Drosophila melanogaster: one gene and its partner. The gene in region 1 interacts genetically with each later gene. Each region holds a gene or a part of one and is shown in the gene's direction. Other genes may lie near its edges.

Region 1 (4,129 bases):
ATGTACAACAATGCCGCGTCGCCGCCGCCACCTACTACTTCCGTGGCCCCAGCTGTCTACGCCGGCGGTCAGCAACAGGTGATTCCTGGAGGTGGAGCGCAATCCCAGTTGCATGCCAATATGATTATTGCACCCAGCCATCGGAAGTCGCACAGCCTAGATGCGAGTCATGTGCTGAGTCCCAGCAGCAATATGATCACGGAGGCGGCCATTAAGGCCAGCGCCACCACTAAGTCTCCTTACTGCACGAGGGAAAGGTGGGTTTTGCAATACATTATTGTGAGCTTAGAGATTTACTAATGCAACCTTTTATCGTAGTCGATTCCGCTGCATTGTGCCGTATCCACCAAACAGTGACATTGAACTAGAGCTACATTTGGGCGACATTATCTACGTCCAGCGGAAGCAGAAGAACGGCTGGTATAAGGGCACCCATGCCCGTACCCACAAAACCGGGCTGTTCCCCGCCTCCTTTGTTGAACCGGATTGTTAGGAAAGTTATGGTTCAAACTAGAATTTATTAAGCGAAATTCCAAATTACTTGTCTAAAAGGATTCAATCGTCGGTCTATTCGGGCTTCCAAATACGCAATCTCATATTTCTCTTTTCAAAAAAGAAACCGTTTTGTACTCTTCCAATCGAATGGGCAGCTCGCCGTTGTACTTTTTTATACAATGCTTGATCAAAATAGGCTAGCCATGTAAGACTTAGGGAACAGTTACTTAAGCCTTAGCGATTAGTTAGCTAGAGAAATAATCTAACCGATCCTTGTGCCCTCTACAAAGTTATTTGTAATATACGATACTCAGTAATACCCTTTGGTCGTTTTAACTTATTTTATTCACCAAGCAAAACATCGAGGCTAACTGTGGATTCAACTACGGCAGGCAAGGTTACTCGCTTTTTTCGAACTTGGATCCGTAGATGGGCACGTACTGTAGGACCAGCTTCCAGTCGGTGTAGTAAAGCACGGCCAGGCCAGCAGCTCCTCCGAATCCGGCTCCAGATCGGATGCTACGAATTAAAAGAAACTAGTTTAGTTCTCTGGATGGGGTTATGCAATGTGTGCTTTGGTAGCAGTAAAAGAGCGGGAACACTAATGAATTCATGATGCAGAATCAAGCACGACAGCATATACTTACAAGGAACTCGCTATCTCAGCGTGCTTCTTGCCAAAAGGTATGCGGAAAGCCATTTTTGTTGATTTAATAACTTTTCACACGCACCAAAATGTTCGCAATGAACGCAATAGTTTCAAATGTCCTAAATAATACCACTACAGTGTGACCGTAGGATAGCGTAAAACTTTAAAAGCAAGGTGTGACAACACTGTGCGGCCTACGTGAGAACAACAACTAGTCATCAACAAAAACTAATATTCGCAAAGAACTCATCAAAAATTACGAAATTAAAATGAAAATATCCGTTTTTGGGGAGCTTAACACATTCGAGCTGTTTGTCCTGTCCACTGTGATACCGGCGGTGTTCGTTTTCCTTTGGACTCTGATATCTGGCGATATGAAGGTACGGCAGATAGTGCTTATCAGAATGGTTAATTTTAAGTAATTTTCCCTTTCTGCCCTGAGTTTACAGAACTTCAAGGGCAGCAAATTGGCATACTCAGTTTATACGGCCAAGGATCCCATTAATTGCTATCAAGACTACGAACCAGAGAAGCAAAAGGATACGTAGACTATGTGCCGGGTTGGATTACCAGGGCCCACCATCTTTTATACTTTTATTGCATATATGTATGTATGCAAATTGTGTGATGAATAGAAGAGGGTTTTTGAAAAAAGACAATAAACCTTTGTGGGCTGCATTTCATATTTTGTTTTTTCTTTGTAGCTTTCGGCAATTTTCATATATTTGGAAATATTTTAAAAGTAAACAAAAACTTAATTGCAATATGAATCATATTTTGAACCACCTGGTCACACCCACCCCTTGTTGGTATTTTCGCGTTTGTAGCGAACCTTCTCACTGAAGTGAGTCCAGTCAAAGATTTTAAGGTAATTTTTGGCTTTCTAATTGTTTAAACGCTTACTTATCGACGGATATTGCGGGTTTTGATCGTGTCCTGCGCACTTCCTGGTGCCCATACGCACCAGCAATCCGATAGTCCTGAAGTCTGGCCGAAAAACCAAAACAAACAAAGAAGACAACTACGCAGAAGACGAACAAAAACAATGTCGGAAACATACGGTTTGTCAGCACACATTTAATTAATTAATGCATTTTACTAATTAATATCGGTGCTCGGCGCTCACCTAGATTACCTGTTCAAGTTCCTGATAATTGGCAGTGCTGGCAGCGGTAAGAGTTGTCTGTTGCATCACTTCATCGAGAGCAAGTGTAAGTTTGGTGGTAGCCTGAAAATGGTACACGCCTAATGCATTTTATACATTTTGATGTACCATCAAAGTCAAAGACGACAGTTCGCACACCATCGGAGTGGAGTTCGGCTCGCGGATTGTGAACGTGGGCGGCAAGTCGGTAAAGCTACAGATATGGGACACAGCCGGTCAGGAGAGATTCCGATCGGTGACAAGATCGTACTATCGCGGAGCAGCCGGAGCTCTCCTGGTCTACGATGCCACTTCGCGGGACTCTTTCAATGCTTTGACAAACTGGCTGAATGATGCTCGCACTCTGGCCAGCCCAAATATTGTGATCCTTTTGGTGGGCAATAAAAAGGACTTGGAGGAGGCGCGTGATGTGACCTTTCTGGAAGCAAGCACCTTTGCCCAAGAGAACGGTCTGTTTTTTAGGATTCTCCATAAATTTCCTATCGTAATTCTACGTCTGTTTGTCGTTGCAGAGCTTATCTTCCTGGAGACGAGCGCCAAGACGGGGGAGAATGTTGAAGAGGCCTTTCTCAAGTGCTCAAAGACCATACTGGCCAAAATTGAGACCGGAGAGCTGGATCCCGAGCGCATCGGCAGCGGTATTCAGTACGGCGGAGCTGCTCTCCGTAACTTACAGACACGACAGCGCAGCATCAATAAGCCGGATTGCACCTGTCGCGTTTAAGTCGCATAAGTTGTGCTGATTTATTTCCATTTAATCTCAAACCGGAATGCGCATTCGGATTACCCCTTAGTTGTATTGTGTACTTGTGTGTGTCCACTTTTTTAGTATGTATTTTGTCTTGCTAGATTAATCATTCCAATTGTAAGCATAATGCTAATCGATTTGTTTTTTAACATAACCAATTACCACTTTGAAAACCTATGATTTCGGGTTAACCCCAAATGTTACTTACTATAATTTGTAATTCGTGAAGCACTAGAGCCCTCGAGCAACAAATGATGTATGGCTATAAGCACATGGATCTGATCTAGAGGATGAACAGAATACACTCGGCATTTTTAATGTAAATAAGTAGCGATACGCCGTTGACGACGTCGCCGATTGTAAATCCCATTGAAGCATGCACGCGGTAAATAAAAACGCCCATTGATAAATTCAATTGTATAAAAATATTTATTTCGACCCAAGGTAACAAATATTGTATTGGGGAAGCTATTAAATTTTATTAATAACAATGAAGCTAAAACATTTTAAATGGCAATAATTGATAAAAAAATAATTAAAAACCGTTTGTATTTGAGGAAATTGGCATAGCATCTTTAGATTGTGTTTCCAAATGGGCTGTTTTTGTTTTGATTTAAAAGGTCTTAACAATTTATGGTGATCAAAAATGATTTTTTGGTTTTAGACATTTATGTCTATTAAAGCGATGGAAAAGTATTTTTTAATTCTAAGATATACAGTTAAGTTCATTAGGTGCCCTTTGCTGTCCTCTTCCAAAGGATTACGTCTTGGCTAGAAAGCAAATTCAATGCAGTTTAGCAGAAACTAGACTGGGCTGGAATCATCATATTAGGCGTCGCATTTGCTTAGCTGCTGAAGGGCGTGCTTGGCAGCCGATAGCTTGGCCTGGTCCTTATTGCTCCCAAATCCGTACACCTTGATCGTCTTTTCCATGCAGGTAAATTGACAACTAACCATTACAGTTTCCCCTTCGACGATGGGCGAGCTAAACACGGGCTTCGCATGCTTGTGCTCAACGAGCTGTCGTATATGATTGATGGGCACTTTGCGCGTGAACTCCTGAAGCTCCGGC
Region 2 (7,949 bases), on another chromosome or scaffold:
CATATTTAACTATCATTTCTATTTGATCTATATTTAGAATATCAGCACTGACGCCCAAACTTACCAAGCAGGCCAGAGTAATGGTGGAGGACTTAATTTTGCAGTTGAACCACGCCATGCGGATACGACTGCTAAATAAATTCACGGTAAGTTAATTAGGTACCTGTCTTGTGATCATTTGCTTAAGTAATCAATTGAAGTGCATTAAGGCTGTCGCTCACATTTTCATAAATTTGTTTTATTTAGAATTGACGGCTGGCAATGAATTTGAATATGAAATGAATTATACTAACGAATGTGTTTTTATTGCAGCTCTATGACCAGCCTCACTTCGATGCCACAGGACTTCTTCATTCCAGCCGCTTATATGGACCCCGTGTTTCAATCCTTGTGGATGAATGGTAAGTTAAGCAGTAGGATTAATCCTCCAAGGAAGCGTTTAACTAATCGTGCCGTTCTTTTGGTTTTCAGTGGAGCCACACCGCTAGAGGACGATGTCGACAACTTTGAGCATGTCCTCAAGATGACCACGCACAACGACGCTCTATATGCCTATTACTATACTGACAGCAACACGAACAAGGTGAAAGTAACCGAGATCTTTGACTTTGACGAAATAACGGAGCACGACAAGCTGGCCACCGATCTGCAGATCTACGAAGGCTCTGTCGAAGATCACCCCAATCCCCACCAGCACAGCCACAATACGGTGGTCAGCGAATGGAATGGCGTCGAATCAGGTTGGTATTTGTGAAACGACCGCACTTTCAATTCAAAAATCACATCATTACGTAGAGAAATCGTATCATTTGAATCAACACCAAACATTTTTTGCAGTACAAGTAATGCCCACGACTCCTGAACTACACGACGTAGCCTTTTAAAGCACTTACAAACTAAACGACTATAAATGCACCTCCATAACCCTTCACCCACTCAAGCATTAAGTCCAAATTTTAAATCGTTGGCGCAGGTAAATGATCTAAATTTGCAATCACTCCCCCGTATATTCCCATAACAAAATTTCATTTTATATAGTTCGCTCTTATGAATGGTTAAACTAAACTCTGTCTTACTTTCTCATGCTCCACAGACTTCTTCATCGATGCGCATACACCAAATGTGGAGGATAGTAAAACATCAGCGCCACAATTCTCCCGCCTGGACCTGGAGACCGAGTCGGATGCTAGTGTGCTAAGTGATCCCGAGGTTGATCAGACTTTTAGCTCCACGGCCTCCACGCACAGCAGCGACATGTATATAGAAATTGAGGGGTAATTAGTAATGGGGAGGGGGCAATCCTCTTAGGAACTGTATCGAAACATCTCCAAAGCGGCTCGTAGCAAAGCGAAAAGCCTAGTAGCGTTTCCATTAGTCTAAATTAGTCTTAGTACGACCAACGTATGTACCTAACTTAACTTAGCCGTATGCTGCCATTGTATCATCGTCAGTTTGTAAGCGGCAATTAGCTAATAATTGCATTCTTGTTATTAGTCACCCTCACACGACTTGTATTACATCCAAATCCCCATCTGTGTTTAGCCTAAGTTGATAATGTATAAACAATAAAAAAAATAAACAACAAATATTTACAGAATGTCTGGTTGCGCATTTACTATTAATAAAATAACTAATTGTGATTAATGGGGAATTCAAGGAAGGAAAAAAAAAAACAAACAAAAATATGGTGCGCTTCGTCACTATGTAAACTGTCGTTCACAGTGATATATATGCAGTGCACTTCTTTCATCCATCTATAACAATTTATATAAATTGTTAGACATTCGCATTCGTAATATCAAATTTTTTAAATTTCATTTTCTTTATAAAATTTAATCGGCATAAAAATTTAATACTTCTGGAAAAGAATACCGTTCTAAAAAGTATCGATGCCAATGAATGGAATACCCCCTACGCACCTGCCATTTTTAGTGCATATTTCCAGAAAGCTGAAACGGCCACACTGCAACATTTTTCATAAAACAATCTTGTTTTGATATTGGTAAATTAATTGCCAGCAATTAGTTTAAATTGTGTGTAAAATAAAAGGCCAACTGGGCAGGCAACAAGTAAACTAATCACCATGGAGGCGGTGCCCCGTTTGCATATGCTCTGGTTCGCCCTAAAATCGAGTCCCGAGGGAACCTCCTTTGCGGCTTTGAAAAAGGTAAAAGGAAGAGAGTGCGAAAGGGGGAGTGAAATAATTAAGAGAGCCAGCAAAACAAAGAGGAGACAACTTGGTGAAACGGAATTATCGGTCAAATTGGGAAAATGCGTTGCTTATTGGATTCATATTGGAATCGAAATTCCCATTCTCACCATGCCATTTGCTCCATTGCATTTTCCGTTTTCACCAACTTTTAAGCCCCCTTTGTCTGGCGGCTGAGTCATCGTCGTCATCTGATTAAATTGGCAAACAAATAAAAAGTTATAAGCAAACACTGGCAGTTTGTTGGGTTATTGCACTTAATTCCCCATGAAAACCCATTTACCCTAAAATATATTCTTGTTTTCCTACACTAAACTCCATAACAAAAATCCAACTTAAAACATTTCACGTTTTACTTCCAGTACATCGCGGAATTTTATCATGAAGATCCAGAGGCTTACTCCAAAGAGGTCCATGCCCTGGAGACTTTGCGCAACCAGGCCATGCACACCACGAAAGATGGAGCGCCGGTGATGAAACGCTACTATTGCCAGCTACACGCCCTTCAGAATCGATTTCCACAGCTGGCGGATCGCGGAATCTTCACCTTTAAATGGAAGGATCTCTATCACAGTGCCGTTCACGAGGTCACTGATCTGCGATTCGAACGGGCTGCGGTGCTGTTCAACATTGCCGCATTGCACACTCAGTCCGGAGCGTCGGTGACCCGTGGCGATGTGGATGGAATGAAGATGGCCTGCACTCACTTCCAGGCGGCTGCTTGGGCCTATGGAGAGCTGAGAGAACGCTATGCCAATGTCAATGGCGGAGGGGATTTTATGACCCCAGAGCTGCTGGTCTTTCAGCAACAGGTGTGCTTTGCCCAAGCTCAGGAATGCATACTCGAGAAGTCGCTAATCGACAATAGGAAACCGCATATTGTGGCCAAAGTGACGGCGCAGATTGTGGTTTACTATGGAGCTGCACTGGCTGCTCTTCTTACGGGAGGAGATGATGGTCCAGTGGCTCAAGTCATCGATAGTTCTGTGTACAAACTGTGGAAGAAGTACGTTCGCTTCAAGATCAACTATCTCACCTGCATATTGTACCTATACCAGGGCCAACATTCCGAGGAGAAGCGTCAGATGGGCGAAAGGGTGACGCTCTACCAGGTAACTATAACATTTTGAGCTCTATTTAAAGGAAAGGTTTAAATGCTTACTTTATATTCCTTTCAGGCTTCCTGGGACAAACTGGAGGAGGCGCGCAAAGAGTCCAAGGGCCTTCCTGACCAGCGGGAAATCAATGAATCCCTCAGCTTCACCGCTGATGTGGTGGAAGCAAAGCGCAAAAATGCCAAAAACGAAAATGAGTTCATTTACCATGAGGCGGTGCCCGAATTGTCCACCATTGCAGCCGTCCAAGGTGCCAATTTGGTCAATGGGATTGGCTTTCAAGTAAGCGACGAGGAGCACGCGGGTCCAGACATCTTTGCCAGATTAGTGCCCATGAAGGCCCACGAAGCCAGCTCGTTGTACAGCGAAGAGAAAGCCAAACTTTTGCGTAAGTACGGAGCTCTGCTGGAGGAGAAGGACACCCAACTGGAGTCGTACATGAGCTCCCTCACCCTGGATAATCTGAATATCAACGAGGAGCAAGCCAATAAGTTGCCCCAGGGCATCGTGGATCGCTGTGCCGCCTTAAATGCAAACAAGACTGCTATCAGCGATCTTGTAGAGGCCATGTCTCAGCTGGCTGAGATTACAGCCGATGTGGAGACCAACCTGGGCGAGATTTCAAGCATGCTGGAGGCAGAAGCCAAAGCGGAGCGAGAGTTCCAATCCGCCACCGGCGTTCAACGAACACCAAATGCCCACATTACCGAGTTATCGCGAGAGTTCCAGAAATACAGTGAAGCCCATGCACGGGCAGGGGAATCCAATAATACCTTGCGGAAAGCCATGAGCCTGCACGTAAATAATCTAAAGATCCTGGCCAGACCATTGCCTGAGATTCAGCAACTGATGCCCAAACTAAGTTCGGAACTGAATACCACCGAAATTTTCAGGGATGTGAAGCTCATCCTCAACAAAGTCAACGAAATGAAGGCGCAACGTGCTCAGTTTCATGCGGATTTGAGGATAGCCATCAATGAGGATGATATCACTGGCAAAGTAATTGCCCACGGTGGACAGGAGGGCCTCCAAGCTTTATTTGCAACCGAGCTGGGCAAGCACGACAAGATCACCGAACTTCTCGATCAGAATATGGTGGCTCAAGGTAATATTCTGCAAGCTCTAACTGAAAACTATGCCAAGGCGGCACCAGTTTTGAAAACGCTCCAGGACGTGAAGCAGAAACGGGAGCACTTTTACAGCTCGCTAGCTGCATCCTATGATGTTTATGAGGATCTGCTGGCCAAATCCGCCAAGGGCTTGGAATTCTACAAGAAACTAGCCGGAAATGTACAGAAGCTACTTACCAGATTTCGATCCGCCAGGGATGTACAGTCCGAAGAGCGCCAGCAAAGGATGCAGAGCGTTAAGGCCGCAACAACTCCAGTTGTCAGCAAACCAATAGCGGAAACTACGCCTGTGCCAGCGGTGAGCAGCACCCCCAAATTAAGGGATTACCTCAAGGCCAAGGCAGCGATGGCGGATGCCTCGAATCCCGCCTATGTGCCTACAGTGCGTCCAGTGCCGGTGGGCTCGGAGAATCCCACGCAGGCCGCTTGTTCCTATGCCACTGCACCACCGAATGAGCCACCTCCACCCTATAGTCTCACACAGCAGCAGTATTTTGATCCCAGTGCCGCCGGCTACACGAATCCCATGTATCAGCAGCAACAGCAGCACATTGCTCCACCGGCCTACAAGGCCCAAGCATCGCCAAACTCTCAGACCCTCCACGGAGCGCTCGGTCAGATGAATTTGCAGGGCCAGTCGCAGGATAACAACCAAGCAGGCATGGCTTATAATTACGGGTATCCAAGTGGGTCTGTTCCTCCTCTAGCTTACGCTCCACCCGGAACAGTGCCCGCAAGCTCAGCTTCCCAGGGATTGAATATCCAGCAGCCTCTGTATGTGGCTACATCGGGCAATCCAGTTTCGGTTTCAAATCCCAGTGAGCTGCCGTCCACCCTGCAGGCACCCTTCGTGGTCAATCCAATGTCCAATCCCTACCAAACAGCGGCAGGTTATTCAGGGCAGGCTTACCAACAGGTCAATGCTCAAGCTCAACAGGTGACTTATCCTACAGCACCATCGGGCTCTTCAACAGGACAATCAGCTCAACAGCCCTTGGGTTATGCGCCAAGTCAGGGGCCACAGCAGCAAGCTGGTGGATATCCACAATCTCAGACACCGCAGCAACAGGTGGGAGCTTATCAACAGCAGCCATTATCAGGCTATGCCCAACAGCTGACGCCTCAGCAACAAACTGGATATTCACAGTCGCAAGCACCGCAGCTCCAAGCGCCCAGCTATGCCCAAAATCAGCAATCGACTGGACAAGCACAGCAGCAACAGACTGGATATCCACAGACACCTCAACAACATCTAGCTGGGTATGCTCAGTCCCAGCAACAGGCTACAGGATATCCACAATCGCAGACATCGCAGCAGCAGACCACCGGGTATTCCCAGTCCCAGACGCCTCAACAACCACTGGCATATCAGCAGCAACCATCTGGTTATCCACAACAACAACAACAGCAGTCACTTGCTCCGCAACAGCCATCACTTTATCCATCGCAGGCTGTCCAGGCGTCGCCACAACCTATTCCTGGCCAGCAGGCAACACCTCCGAATGCTGGGCAACCTTTGCCATATCCACAGCAGTACACTGATCCCAATGCAGCTCCAGCTCCAGCTCCTGGGGTTTCTTCTGTACCAAGTCCTGTTCCAGTACCGACTCCAGCCCCCACTTCATCTCAAGCTCAGGTTCCCACATCTCCGCATCCTTCGGCCACCTACACCAGCTATTCCAACCATCCTGGCTATAGCTTTAATCCGCAGACAGGTAAATACGAGTACAGCAGTGGCTATCAGCAGGATACCAGTTCGTTGAAGGGATCCCAAGCCTCGCAAAGCTACCAGTTTAGCCAGAGTGGCAAGCAGCAGTCGGTGGGAACAACGGACTCAGAGATTGCCAGTCGCAGCAATACCGCCACTGGATTCGATGTAAGTGCTATGCCCATATATATTAAAGGTATTGAGACCTAAAATAACGAAATTTTTATCCAACAGTCACCTATCGTGTCCCACACCAAGGTTAATATGGCAGCTAAGGACTCCACTTCTGCGATAGAGGGCAATGAGTCATCCAACTACTACTCCACTCCCTATGGATACCTTGGCAGTGTAAATCCGCAGCAACAACCCACTCCTGCGCCTCCTTCGAATTCAACTGCTTCAATTTATATGCAAAGTGGAGCGAGCAGCACTGCTGAAACCCAGACGACTTCCAGCGGAGTTCCTTACGCCTCCTCCGCGGCTTTGACCAAAGTAGAACCAAAGCCGGAGGCATTGCCTCCCAAGGTTACCAGCAATGTGGATCTGCTTAGCGACCTGGACATTGACTGCTCCGTTGCTGTTCCGCCGCCAATGTTGCCGCAGCCTGTTTTGCAGCCCCAGGTGGTGGCCACTCCTACGCCGCCGGCAAGTCAGGTATCGGTGCCTGTTAAGGTAGAAAGTGTGGCAGAGCACGCTGCTCCCGCAACAGCGGAAATTCCTGTAGCAGCCACCGAGGGAACTGCTCAAACTCCAGTTACCATTCCTTCGGGTCCGAAGTGTGCCAGTTTAGATAACCTATCCAACTGTTCCGACCTAAGTTCCCTGGAGAACTTTGACTGGGACTCGGTATCCGTTACACATTCCGTCAGTGAGAAACAGACCAAGGCATCTGCCACAGCCAATGGCCATTCGAGCAGTTTTGCATTCCAATCCGAAACTTTTACGGACGAAAAAACGACAAAATATTTCCAAAAGGAGGTGGAGAGCTATGAAAAATTACTAGAGAATTTGCACGTGAAAATGTTGAATGGAAAAACACAACTGGGCGCCAAATGGCAAGAGCTGCAGCAAAAGTTGGATAAAGAAGCCGCTGCCAACAAGCGATCCACCACCATTGCGAAATTGTTCCCGGAGAAAAATCGATCCCTTGATTGTCTGCCATACGATCATGCCAGAGTAAAGCTGGACAAGCAGACCGATGACTACATCAATGCCGCCTACATGAAGGTGAGTTATTCCAGAAAATGTTTTTATAGCACACAATCTTTAAACGCCGTTGTTATTCATTTAGAACTTGAGTGCCGGCTGTCCCAACTTTATTGTCGCTCAGACTCCCCAGCCAAATACCATCAACGATTTCTGGTCCATGATCTGGTCGGAGAAGTCGCGCACTGTGGTTTGCCTGCACACCCCAAATGAAGTGAGTAACTTCAGCAAAACTATGAGATTATTGAATCTAAATATTTGATATGTTCTATAGCTTTTCGATCCCTACTGGCCGCAAGCTTTGGACCAGCCGACTCATTATGATGATTACACCGTGACCTGCTTAAAAGTGCAGCAACTTAGCCACTGCTCCGAGTATCAACTTAAATTGTCCATGCATGGAGCGGACGCAGTGCTGGATTTATCTCTACTGCAGCTGAAACAGTGGACCAAGGGGTAACATGTCCAGATTTCGTCCGATGGAAAGAAATAAATAATTGCTATTTTACAGGGCTCCAGCTCAACTTCTGGGTGTGGCGGAAAATGCTTTGGAGACCCATCGACAACGCTGCAAGGCAGCC

The links. A genetic interaction does not mean that the proteins touch.
Region 2: of Rab4 (region 1) and mop, changing one suppresses a phenotype caused by changing the other (phenotypic suppression), as found in Drosophila melanogaster (one study listed by BioGRID).

Annotation. Positions count from the first base shown.
Region 1 is NT_033778.4:17,571,510-17,575,638, forward strand, and holds Rab4 (Rab4), read left to right. Parts: upstream 1-1,952; 5' UTR 1,953-2,189; coding exon 2,190-2,205; intron 2,206-2,274; coding exon 2,275-2,355; intron 2,356-2,425; coding exon 2,426-2,758; intron 2,759-2,821; coding exon 2,822-3,033; 3' UTR 3,034-3,470; downstream 3,471-4,129. Other genes in the region: POSH (plenty of SH3s), read left to right, coding at 1-257, 319-493; UQCR-6.4 (Ubiquinol-cytochrome c reductase 6.4 kDa subunit), read right to left, coding at 894-1,014, 1,143-1,195; CG42239 (uncharacterized protein), read left to right, coding at 1,414-1,524, 1,594-1,692; Dcr-2 (Dicer-2), read right to left, coding at 3,886-4,129.
Region 2 is NT_037436.4:14,770,130-14,778,078, reverse strand, and holds the start of mop (myopic), read left to right. Parts: upstream 1-1,949; 5' UTR 1,950-2,083; coding exon 2,084-2,167; intron 2,168-2,571; coding exon 2,572-3,321; intron 3,322-3,387; coding exon 3,388-6,330; intron 6,331-6,396; coding exon 6,397-7,389; intron 7,390-7,453; coding exon 7,454-7,582; intron 7,583-7,642; coding exon 7,643-7,824; intron 7,825-7,879; coding exon 7,880-7,949. Other genes in the region: bmm (brummer), read left to right, coding at 38-146, 313-401, 472-740, 1,094-1,278.